Linked DNA regions of Arabidopsis thaliana. The protein of the gene in region 3 interacts with the protein of the main gene of each other region in a pairwise test. Each region holds a gene or a part of one and is shown on either strand. Other genes may lie near its edges.

Region 1 (4,256 bases), on a different chromosome or scaffold from region 3:
TCCTTACTGATATTTACAATTTAGCAACAACAAAAAAAATAAACACAAACAAATATCGATCAAAGCGTTCTGACTAGATCATGTGGTTTAGATCAAAATTAAAGCACTATCGTAACTAAACATACGTAATTTATTATAGTATTACAATGTGTTCATCTAATTGAATAGATGGCATACTAAGTAAAAAAGATGAATGCAACAATCAATGTATATACATAATTCAATAAATACTTAATTAAAAGATATAAATACAAATATAACACTAGGTCAAAGTTGGCCAATAAGAATAATTCTTTTGTGGCAATCATATAGACTACGGCATGGTCTTATGCTATTGGTGTGAGATTGGAGTTGATTTGTTCGTGCGAAGTTTGCTCTGACTATAATATTCAATGTTGACCACATATTATGTAAGCCCATACGTCATCTAGGTCTTTAAATCAATATCTTATATGACACACTTTTAGATTCCCCATTCGGTCAAATGTTTTATTAATTTAGAAAGTAAGTTTATATTGTTTCAGGTTATGTTTTTGTTTGTTAAATATTGTGCTTTTTCTTCAACCACAAGTTTATATGATTGAAAAATAATTCATCAACATCATGCATGTAATGACAATATTTTTTTTGTTTTTGTGTTTCTGATAAGGCGCAATGACAATATTCAACCCCATAAAAAAATCCCTCAACCATTTTTAAAATGGCACGAATCGTCCAAATTGCTTATAATAGAAATATTAGATTAGAATCCACAGTCAGATCCCACATATTATTATTAAAGAGATTCATCGCATATTCCATTCCAGTTGTTTTATGATGACTTGTGCAGAGTGTATTCCGTAAAACTATATATGTAGCGAATAGAAACAGAGTTTGTCCTTTAATTTTGAATATTCATCCTAATTAACCATGAACTTTTATATATTACATAAAACAATTTAAAAACACACTCAACTGTATTGGATGACATAAGCGACTTTTAATTAGCAAAAATATTATGCTATTTTATTTATGTGATTTATACAGTACGTTGTTTATTAAAATAAAATGATTGTGCAAAACACATATGTATCTATATATATATATATATATATATATATAAAGACATTAAAGTCAAATGATAGAAAATACATTATTTACCTAAATAATTGGTGTTTACATGTTTATATATATTAAAGTGTTTCTTTGATTATATGTTTGTCATTTGCTCATTTACCTAAATAATTAGATATTCATCATGGTCATTTAGGTAAATTAATTTTTTGGTGAGTCATTTAGGTAAATTATTAACCCTTTAATGTTCAGGATGAAAATAATTATTTAAATCCACCACATATATAATAAATAATTAATTTTAACTTAAAATGTTGACCGTAATTAACACAAGACTTGGATCATAATTAATGAATTTTGTATAAGACAGTCGTTTTTTTTTTCGTCTTTTGAGACACGCAATCGATTTTGGGTTAACACAAACCATTAATACAACTACATAGTGGGTCGGTCGATGCAGTCCGTAATGTAACGTTTGTTAAGGAAAATTAAAGAGATGAATACAAAGAATTGTTTTTAAGGAACAAAAAAGTGTGTGTAATGTTTATGACCAAAATATCCTCTAGGTTAGACAAACTCTCTATAATATTGGTCAACAAATACATGCGTGTGCGTCTATATATAACATAGATGCAGAGAATAGACATCTTTGCTGGTTCTTTGGCTTGTACCCAAACCCATCTTTGACTTCAAAAATAAAATAAAAATAATCATAATTGACATCATCGGATAATGCATAGCGGGAAGAGACCTCTATCACCAGAATCAATGGCCGGAAATAGAGAAGAGAAAAAAGAGTTGTGTTGTTGCTCAACTTTGTCGGAATCTGATGTGTCTGATTTTGTCTCTGAACTCACTGGTCAACCCATCCCATCATCCATTGATGATCAATCTTCGTCGCTTACTCTTCAAGGTAATTTCATCAGATCCTTTTTCCAATAATTTTAATTGCTATACTTTATAACTCGAGTGATTGTCTTTTCCATTGGTGATTCTCTTTACACATAGGAATGATTTAATCTTGGATTTTGCAATTGGTAATCCTTTAGTGGCTGCAGCATGGCCTTGATCAAATAGAGATATAATTTCATGTATGGCCACAATGCATTAGTTCAATTTACTATATGATTTTTTTAATGAATGTTCATGGTTAGATTTTCTTGAAAAAACCTGTCGGCTTTATTGGTTGGACAAAATTGATCATATTTGGCTTTCGGACAAATATGATTGGCAAGGCTTGGTTGCAATGGTCGTATTTTGGTTGAGATAACTAGCCAGAGAGAGTTTTAGGATTGTAACATGGGGAAAACGTATTTAAAATGATCAAACTTAATTTATATCCTAATTATATCATTGGTGTGATACATAAGTATATATATAGTTAATTACCAATTACGAGAGAGAGGAATGTATAAATGTAGGTTTGGCCTAATATATAGATTTCATAAGTAGATGTAGAAGAGGGGAATAAAAGTTGATGTAGAATGATCATATCATATGATTCAAACGCCCTTTAATAATCTTTACGAAATGCCTCTACACCGATAGTATACGTTATATTCATAGACATGCACGTCACATTTAAGTCACCATTTTCATGACAAGAGTGAACTTACAATTTTCATCATTTTTCTACAGAAAAAAGTAACTCGAGGCAACGAAACTACAGAGGCGTGAGGCAAAGACCGTGGGGAAAATGGGCGGCTGAGATTCGTGACCCGAACAAGGCAGCTCGTGTGTGGCTTGGGACGTTCGACACTGCAGAAGAAGCCGCCTTAGCGTATGATAAAGCTGCATTTGAGTTTAGAGGTCACAAGGCCAAGCTTAACTTCCCCGAGCATATTCGTGTCAACCCTACTCAACTCTATCCATCGCCCGCTACTTCCCATGATCGCATTATCGTGACACCACCTAGTCCACCTCCACCAATTGCTCCTGACATACTTCTTGATCAATATGGCCACTTTCAATCTCGAAGTAGTGATTCCAGTGCCAACTTGTCCATGAATATGCTGTCTTCTTCGTCTTCATCTTTGAATCATCAAGGGCTAAGACCAAATTTGGAGGATGGTGAAAACGTGAAGAACATTAGTATCCACAAACGACGAAAATAACATGTTAATGGCATAAATATCTCTTCGTCCAAGTTATCAAACGCATTGACCTCCGGCTTTGATCATTTTAGGCGCTTAATCTCTTTACGACTTCATTTTGGTAGTCTTTAAAGAGTCTATGGAGTGGATTTAGCTAGGAATCAGGCCTTATGGATGAAAAATATATAAATTTTGAACATGACTATGCAAGAATGGGATGAAGACTACTTAGCTTGGAAAACGTCCTGATAGGTCATGACGACTATATCCACAGAAGATGACCGACGGAGACAACAACATGCCTCACCTGATCGACCGATCAAATGAGATAATGTGTTGACCGGACCGGTCGGATCAGGTTGGGTCGAGTATATCAGGTAGAAAAAAGCTCGTACATGGTGCTTTATGTCTTTCCACTCCGAAGTAGCTTGCTAGTTTATCCTTTTGTATCACGTACGAAAGAGATAAAAAAAAAAGTTCAAAAACAAATATAGAGGGTATACACATGATGAGGGTGTTCGAGTTTCCAAAACATAAGCTAAATTTTTTTAAATATGTACTTACATTTATATCTGTCTTATTATCCAATGCTCATATATTTTTCAACGCGTTGAATGATGAAATGGTTGGTAAATAAAAATGAAACTAAACTAGGTAACAGTCTGCATATGAAACGATTAAAAAACGATTCAAGTAAAATTATTATAAATAAATTATTATATAGGATACACATATCGACTGCTAGTGTATAAAACAAAACATGTAGTAAAAGTTTTTTTGTTCTATTCAAATTTGCGATTATTTCATATAAGTGTATCTTTCACCAGTTAAATAACTGAATGGAGAAAAAGGTTCAACATTATGAAAAATTATTCATGAAAATTATTATCTGTGAAAATATGTTTTATGTTTTTAAAAATCAAATTCACATCTTGTGTGTTTTATTGAGTAATCAGAACCATTTAACCTGTTTTTTGCAAAAAAAAAAAAAAATCACGTAATTTGATGGACAAATCCACAAAGAATCGCGATCACAAAATTAAAATCAGAACTAATATGCCTCTTAGATGATTACATGTGGACACTATCAAATCTACACTATTTATGTTA
Region 2 (5,583 bases), on a different chromosome or scaffold from region 3:
TGTTGTCATCACAGGTGATCCATGAAACAGGGGAGCTCGTGGCTAGTTGGACAGGACTGTCTTTCTCAAGAGACAGAATCAAGTGGAGCGCATCAAAGACATCAAAAGAAGAAGAAAGTCCGTGGCGTGCTCTTTATGGCTAATCTTCACAGGTCAGGTCTTTTTCATGGCCCAACACTGCTACAGTCTTTGCTTGGACCTGCAGTAAATTTCCCTATTGTAGTAGTACCCTTTTGTTAAAATTCTTATGCTCAGCAGAACCAAATCCACGTCACTCTGCTTTTTCTAGGATATTTATTTATGAAAGAAACAGTTTCTTTTTTTTTGGGCTGACTTGGTTCAACCAAATCTTAAACTCTCAGAAGCATTTTGATTTAAAGGTACATATATTTGGTCAACTCATGGGAGGATCATAACATAGGAGTGGGATTACTTAATATAATACAAATGATTAGAGTTATGATTGGTGGGAGAGGCATAAAAAAAGAGAGATTAAAATTGGTGTGAAGTCCATAAAAGGCACTCATGAAGTATAGTAATAGAGATAGTTAATGTTATCTTAAGAGAAAATAAGTGAGGTGTCGTCAGCTCTGCTAACTGCTAAGCCGGTTGTTTAATAATAGGATATTGATGAAGAAGAAGGAATACGATGTTTTGTACCAAAGTTTTTCGGATCGTCCGAGAATCTTATCCTACTGACATTTCAGCATCATATGTTATTTTTTTTGTTTGTTGTTTTTATATATCTTGTTCGATCTTTTTAGTGCGTCTTATCGTCGCCTTTTCGCTTTCATTATCATTTGATTAGATGACTACTATTCACTTATTTGCCAGGCAGATTTGTTAATATTTTAACCAATTAGGGTCTTTGATCATTCGTCTTTGATTGGATACATACGAGTCTGGATAAAGAGCAATTCATTTTGATGTTTTCTTAATTGAGAACGAAACACAATATTAACTCACCATTAACTAATACTATATTATATGAGTTTAAAAATTAACACTTGCTCAATTTCAAAAACAATAGTTTTCTGATTAACAATGCATCATTTCAATTCGACTTCTCATCTTGTAATTATAAACTTTGAACTGAAGTTATGATCAATTATTTAGTGGTACTAAATCGTATATTCAATAGGAACTTAAATTGTAAACATGTGAAAACAGTCAGACACTTAAAAAAATGGAGGTGGGGTTTCATCCAAGACTTAACCATCATTCTTTCATATTTGGTCTATCATGTTTTGCTTTTTTATATTACTCAATTTAATAAATCGATATCGAGTACCCAAGAAATCGAAATAAAGAAATGGGTTTAAGTAAACCGGTGAACAATATTAATATGAGGAAAGAAAAAGGACAAAAGAGAGATCTATCATATTGATTTCATTATTTTTCAGCGACTTTATGATTATTATTTTTATGAAGAATATTGGGGCAAAGGCTAGTAGTACGTAGACGTAGTGTGAAATATCTTTCTGGTCTGAAAGAGTTATACAGACGTATCTAACTTGGCAGATATTTTTTGGTTTTCATTCAGTTCTCTCTCCCCTCAATGATAAATATCATTAATTTATTTTATTTGTTCTACCAAAAGAAGATATTTTTGTTATATACGCCCACCGAAAAATGAAGAAGAAGAAGATATTTTTGGCTTTTGTAAGGTCAAAGCAAACAGATTTATCAATTATTATTATTATTATCTGAGACTGAGAGAGAGAGAGAGAGGGAGATTTTCTGAATTCTGATTCGTCGAAAAGCATCAAAAAAGTGAACGCTTGAGAATCCATTATGGCACAAACTAGCCACTTGGTAACTTCCACGTCGCGAGTAGATTATCTTCAATACTCGCATGCGCGTGAGTAAAAAACATACAACCTTTTTTTCTTTTCTTTCTAATAGTAATATCTTTAAGAAATATCCATAAAAATTTTATTGCTTTCACTATAAATACGAGAGGGACCCACAATACCCTACACGAACTTTTTTGCACTTTTTCGTCTTTTTAATTAATAAAAAAAAGAAAGAGAAGGAAGGAAATTAGGCACTTTTGATAAATCAGATTATGTCAGAAGCGCCTACATGTCCCTTTGCGGACACACCCACCCATTGTCTATCCATTCATTTTTTTTTTTCATTTCTTCCTCCAGAGAGAGAGAGAGAAGCCACAACAAGAAGAAGAAGAAGAAGAAGAAGAAGAAGAAGTTCTGGAATAGTCATCATCTTCTCTGTTTCTAGGCTTTGTTTATTTGTCTCTAAAGTTTCTGGATTCAACTTCTGAAGAAGATAGTAGTAGTCCACAAGAAGGATCTTCTTTACGTGAGTTGTTTGTTTCTCTTCTCCCTCTGTCTTTTCTTTTCTGATTTTAATAATCCCAAGTGTGTTCTTATTTTCTTGCTATCTGTTGTATAATTGGTGTTAGTGATTGATTATTCATTGTATATCGATGAAGGGTTGGTTTTGATTTTTGTTGAATTGGATCTTTTGATTTGGGGTTTTAAAACTTGTTCGGATGATGATGATTGGGATTGATCCAAAAGTTTTCGTTATTTATTGGAAATTCAGATTTTTTCGATTCAGTTCCATTTGAACTAGTAAGTCAAACAAAATCTCTAGATTTACTGATCTGGGGTTTATACTTTGAAGCTTGAGTTGTTGTTGTTTTATTAATTTATTTCGATTTTCAGTAATATCCATTTGTAGGTTTTGGTCTCTGACTCTTGTTTATAATAAAAGCTCTGTATTGAGTAAAATCTCATGAAAGTAGGTTTCCTTTCCCTTTTTTATCCTTCTCCTTTGGTTATTAATCTCCTACAACCTTTTTTTAGAAATTACTACCTATATTCAGAAAGATTCCATCTATTTCTTCTTCAAGGCTTGCTTTTTTGAACCAAAAGTCTCTCTCTTTTTCATCTAATAATTTGTTTACTTTTTTGGACAGCAGAAAGTTGATTTGGTCAGAGCCAAGGAAGATGGGTTACATGTGTGACTTCTGTGGTGAACAAAGATCTATGGTGTACTGTCGATCCGATGCAGCTTGTTTGTGTCTCTCCTGTGACCGGAGTGTTCATTCCGCTAATGCATTGTCCAAACGACATTCTCGGACACTTGTCTGCGAGAGATGCAATGCTCAGCCTGCTACTGTCAGGTGTGTTGAAGAAAGGGTTTCACTCTGTCAAAACTGTGACTGGTCTGGCCACAACAACAGCAACAACAACAATTCTTCGTCTTCTTCTACTTCGCCGCAGCAGCATAAGAGGCAAACCATAAGTTGCTATTCGGGTTGCCCTTCCAGCTCAGAACTCGCTTCCATTTGGTCTTTCTGTTTGGACTTAGCTGGACAATCTATTTGTGAACAAGAACTGGGTATGATGAATATAGACGATGATGGTCCTACCGACAAGAAAACTTGTAATGAGGATAAGAAAGATGTCTTGGTTGGATCCTCTTCAATTCCTGAAACCAGTTCTGTACCACAAGGAAAATCATCTTCTGCTAAGGTAACTTTTTTTCTCAATATGTTATTACTTTTGCATCCATGGATATACATATCTATCATTTCTTTACTAAATTCAGAGTTGTTGTTTGTTTTGGTTTAAAGGATGTTGGAATGTGTGAAGATGACTTCTACGGGAACCTTGGTATGGATGAAGTTGACATGGCACTTGAGAACTATGAAGAACTCTTTGGTACCGCCTTTAACCCCTCTGAAGAGCTATTCGGGCATGGTGGAATCGATAGCCTTTTCCATAAGCACCAAACAGCTCCAGAGGTTTTTATCCATTACCCTTTCTTCTTAGATTTATCAAATTGGATGCATCTCTGTGTGATTCTAATAATGCTCTCTTGTTTTTGCTCAATCCAGGGAGGGAATTCGGTGCAGCCAGCAGGCAGTAATGATTCGTTCATGAGTTCGAAAACTGAGCCAATAATTTGCTTCGCATCGAAGCCAGCACATTCGAACATATCCTTCTCTGGAGTCACTGGAGAAAGTAGTGCTGGAGATTTCCAAGAATGTGGTGCATCATCTTCCATACAGCTCTCGGGGGAGCCACCATGGTATCCTCCAACATTACAGGATAACAATGCCTGCTCACATTCAGTAACCCGTAATAACGCAGTTATGCGTTACAAGGAGAAGAAGAAGGCTCGCAAGTAAGTAGTAGTCTGAAACTGCAAATACATGAGCATCATTGAAGTGAGTGCAGGATTTTCCTAATGTGACTCTGGCTTCTTTTTTCTGGAAACAGGTTTGATAAGAGAGTGAGGTATGCTTCCCGCAAAGCAAGAGCTGATGTGAGACGGCGTGTAAAGGGGCGATTTGTCAAAGCTGGTGAAGCTTATGATTACGACCCTCTCACCCCAACCAGAAGTTATTGAAGACTCCTTTTGAAAGGTACATAGATATATATACATGGCGAAGAATCGAACAAGAAAGGTTTTGACTTATGGGCAGTTTCAAGTGAGCAACTTGGAAAATTGTGGGTTAGTAACAAAACAAGACTACTGTAGCATGAACAGATTTCAAGACTGACTCTTGTAAGCAATCATTCATTCTTGGGATTCAATCGTTTTTTTTGGCCTCAGAAGCTTCATTCTTGACCAGAGGGATTATTCTCTGACTTTCCTTGTCCAAACTCCGGTTTCTTCTTCTTCTTCTTCAGGCGTCTCACACTGATCAGGGTTCCATGAATTTTGTTCTTCTCTTGGTAGTTAAAAAGGCAGGGAAGGAGATTTAGAGTAATTTAAACAATATGTGATTGTTGTATATGCCTTTGTATTTGTTTGTATACTCATAAATGTTTTTCTGTTTTGTACTCGGCATTCTTGTAAATTAAAGACATTATCCACATTCTTCTATAGACAAAGAAAGTTATGTGGTACCACTTAACCTAAGTCTCGTTCTGTAACAACCGACTAGTACTAGTTCAAGTTTAACGAGATTTTGGTTTGTAGTAACTTCAAGAGGTTGATCCAACAATGAGGCAATGCAAAACATCTGAACTTTATTATTTAAATGTCAGATTATAAAGGGGAGTCCATTTATGTGAGTTTAGGCGCTTTATCGCTGTTTACTTAAACTTAGCTTCTACTATGTCAATTTTGAACACTTATCAAAAGTGATTGAGATGCAAAACAGTAGTTTTCAAGATGACATATGGACCAAAAGTTTTTAACATTTATATTTGGAGTATTTCGGATTTTACAACTTAATGTGAATTTTCTTGAAGACTCATATTCACAAGCCTTAATTTTCGAATTGAGGAATAAACATTCAGAGAAAGTTGATTCGCGAGCAAGAAATTTGTCCAATTTGATTGCTGACTCGGATTTGAAAACATTGACCAAAGGCTAAGAAAAGAAGGAAGAGAGGAAGAGTCTTCAGATACAGACTCAGGTAGCAAAGTTCTTGTCTTAGCTCAGAAACTTAAAAAGAGAGCTAAAAAAGACCTCTTAAAAGCTAAGAAAGAAAAAAATTTGCTAAATCAAAAGAAAAAAAAAAAGATATAGAAAACACCAAAACACTGGTTTCATACAATACCTTTCCCTACCCTTATGATCATTCTCTCTGTAAATCTC
Region 3 (3,008 bases):
CATAATCTCATTGATATTTGTGGTACCAATTTCTTCTAGGTTTGGGAAGCAAATAAGATATGCATCACGCAAAGCCAGAGCTGATACGAGAAAACGGGTCAAAGGGAGATTTGTAAAATCTGGAGAAACTTTTGAGTATGATCCGTCACTGGTGATGTGAACTAGTGAATCTTCACTGCGGAACTAAAGAATAATCTGACTCCATCCACGGGATTAACAGTTTCTTGTCGGAGAAGTAACAAAAAAAAAACATAAAATTCTCTTCTTGAGAAAGTATACAAGATCAAACTACAAAGACTTAAAATCATCGCAAAGGTGATTCCAAAATGGAGATTAAAAAAAAAAAAAACTGAAAGTTGCTCTTTTTACTAGAGAATTTCCACTGTTTTTTGATGCAACCACAAAACCTACCGGTCATACAGGCATTAATTAGGCATACAGCTACGAGACGATCAGACAAAATCAGAAACCAAAAAACAAAACAAGAGTCGTTGACTCTTTCCTACTTATAGCTCCTTAATCTCAATTACATGTTAATCATAGAAAAATATATCTTCTTTGTGTTTTGGACCACTCTCCACCTTCCATTTCACTTGATTGTAATTTGTAACGTTGTATTGTTTTCCTAGTTAAGAAAAATAAAGCCAAAGAATAAAGGCAGATTATGTTTGCCATAGGAAGATTTGTTCTTGATTTCTTATAGCTTACTATTGGGACCGCATTATTTTACTATTAAATCAATATGTTTTCTAGGTGTTCATATATTACTTTTAAGCTTTAGAATGAAAATATACATTCTTAGAACATTTCCAGAGAAAAAACCCTACCAATATTTAATCTTAATTACGCGAAAAACAAAACATAAAATCAGAGAAACACAAAGGGAATTTTGTGATCACTACTATGTTCTTCAATCCTTGCTATCATCCTTATCTCCGGTAAAACAACATTAAAATTATCACCGACAAGACATCGACGAGTTAGCTTCCGACAGGTCGTGCAGATCACGCGCCGGAGATGTCTCCGAGCTAGAAAATTAGCAGAATGGACCCATCGATCGCATTTCCTACAAAGGAAAGCTGCGTCTGCCTCACAATACACGGTGGCGTTCTCGCCGCAAAGCTCACAGCTTACCGGAGCTTTGTGACTCTCCGTGCATAGTCTTTGGCATCCTCCATTGTCGCTTCTTCTCTCTTCTTCTTTCTCAAACCCTCTACACATCTTTACTCTTTCTTTGTCTCTCTTGTGTTCAAGATTTAGGTTTATATAGGAATGATTGTTATTTAAAGCAAATGGATATTATGAAATTGTCATTAAACTGGTTGTACACGTGGAAAAATATTGACCTATTGGTTTGATGTGAGTGTCCCTAGAGGACCAAATTGTCAATAATTTAGTTATTTTCCCTCCACCAGACGATCTCTCGTCCTCATGTTTGATACACAAGTTTCGAGTAGTTGACTAGTATGACTCGCTCATTGTCACATATCACAATCACGTTCTAGAATGAATCATGAATCATAGCATTTTTGTGGTCTATAAAAAGGGAGTATATAATAATAGTATATGAATTTATTAGTGATTATTCATTAAACTACTGTGCAAGTTTTTGGTTTGTTTTAAAAAGATAATATATGAACGAGAAATTGTGTAACATACTATCATTTGTTTTCAATCATGTTTTCACTTAGATTATAATATTTCTTTTTTTTTTAAAACTATTTCTGTTCGTTTTTATAAATTTATGAGCAGTCATAACATCTACCAAAGAAATGTACCTTTTTCTTAATCTGAATTGATACAAGAGTCAAGAAAATCTACGAGTGTGGAATGAAGCGTTGAAGAAGATGAAGAAAGAGAGATACATTCAATTTAATGTAATTTAGGTGACTCATGATGGCCATGGGTGCAGTGCAGCCAATTACTCTAAATTTTACTATTAACTAGTTACTCGTTTAGTCTAGAAAAATTCATCGCCGAAGAAGTGGTTAGAGAATCAATGTCCCACTGATTACAATTATTAAAGATTATGTGACTATGTGAGCATTCAGAAATATATTGAATATCGGGTCGGGACAGTCTCTACGTTATTGGGTGTCTTCGTGTCATTGTGTGTGTGGTGGTTAACTATTTTAACTTTATATTTTATTACGAGTTTGCTCGCAAAAGGAAAAAAAAAGGAACTTCACTTGCATGGTTCATGATTAAAGTAATTTCTTTTAACGATTAAAATAATTAATTTCTTATTTTCTAGGAGACGTACATCCTCCGAAACTGTCAAAGTTGAATATCCCCTAATGGTTGCAGCGGTTAATGCCGTCAAATCTCTTTGTAGACTGAGCTGAATTTTTATTTACTATTTATAAATTGTGTATTGTAAGCAGAGATTTTTTTCTTAAAAAGTTTGTTGTGAACTAGCTACGAACCGCTTTAACATACAAATAGAGTTGGTCTGCGACGCGACAGTTTATTGTCTGCAGTAAAAATAGAACATACTAAACCGTTGATGAATATGTCCATCTCGACTATTATCACCATTTAAACTCGAAATGGTAACGTATACATAACAAATTTATGATATACTGATAAAATTATCGTTGATAATTAGTTGGTAAACACTTAGTTAATTCATCGTTAATTTAATGACGTTTAAATGATATATTTAATGATGATTCGACCAAATTTATCATCAGAATGACCAAAAAATTTCACGAATAAAAACTTTATGCGTTTCACAGTTTATGTTTTAGGTTTTGAATGAATGCAATGAAAAAAGTGAACTAAACCGCTAACGAAACATATCACTTTATTTTTGAAGCAGACAACAAACAACCACAGACCAAGTTTTTTTATATGTAAAAGCAGTACATAGTTAGTCCGATGCAGACTTGTTCTATTTTCTCAATCCATACTACTACGGATTATAGCTTATGAATGGTAAACAAAAAACGGTTTAAATCGTAAAAGGATTTGTCCGTCCTAACCACCGCAACTATTCGAAACTTCTC

The links.
Region 1: the proteins of BBX30 (region 3) and AT2G33710 interact in binary tests that used the Arabidopsis thaliana proteins (3 or more experiments, as listed by UniProt).
Region 2: the proteins of BBX30 (region 3) and COL9 interact in binary tests that used the Arabidopsis thaliana proteins (3 or more experiments, as listed by UniProt).

What each region holds. Positions count from the first base shown.
Region 1 is NC_003071.7:14,258,182-14,262,437, reverse strand, and holds AT2G33710 (Integrase-type DNA-binding superfamily protein), read left to right. Parts: upstream 1-1,698; 5' UTR 1,699-1,785; coding exon 1,786-1,966; intron 1,967-2,691; coding exon 2,692-3,131; coding exon of another isoform or gene 3,132-3,167; exon of another isoform or gene 3,168-3,398; coding exon 3,399-3,473; 3' UTR 3,474-3,629; downstream 3,630-4,256.
Region 2 is NC_003074.8:2,439,519-2,445,101, forward strand, and holds COL9 (CONSTANS-like 9), read left to right. Parts: upstream 1-2,050; 5' UTR 2,051-2,322; intron 2,323-2,944; exon of another isoform or gene 2,945-2,947; 5' UTR 2,948-2,975; coding exon 2,976-3,503; intron 3,504-3,604; coding exon 3,605-3,775; intron 3,776-3,868; coding exon 3,869-4,158; intron 4,159-4,253; coding exon 4,254-4,383; 3' UTR 4,384-5,014; downstream 5,015-5,583. Other genes in the region: AT3G07640 (period circadian protein), read left to right, coding at 15-143.
Region 3 is NC_003075.7:8,707,094-8,710,101, reverse strand, and holds BBX30 (B-box type zinc finger family protein), read right to left. Parts: upstream 1,262-3,008; 5' UTR 1,222-1,261; coding exon 868-1,221; 3' UTR 620-867; downstream 1-619. Other genes in the region: BBX9 (B-box type zinc finger protein with CCT domain-containing protein), read left to right, coding at 40-160. UniProt on the Arabidopsis thaliana protein: Developmental regulator acting by forming heterodimeric complexes, that sequester CO and CO-like (COL) proteins into non-functional complexes. Engages CO and the transcriptional repressor TPL in a tripartite complex.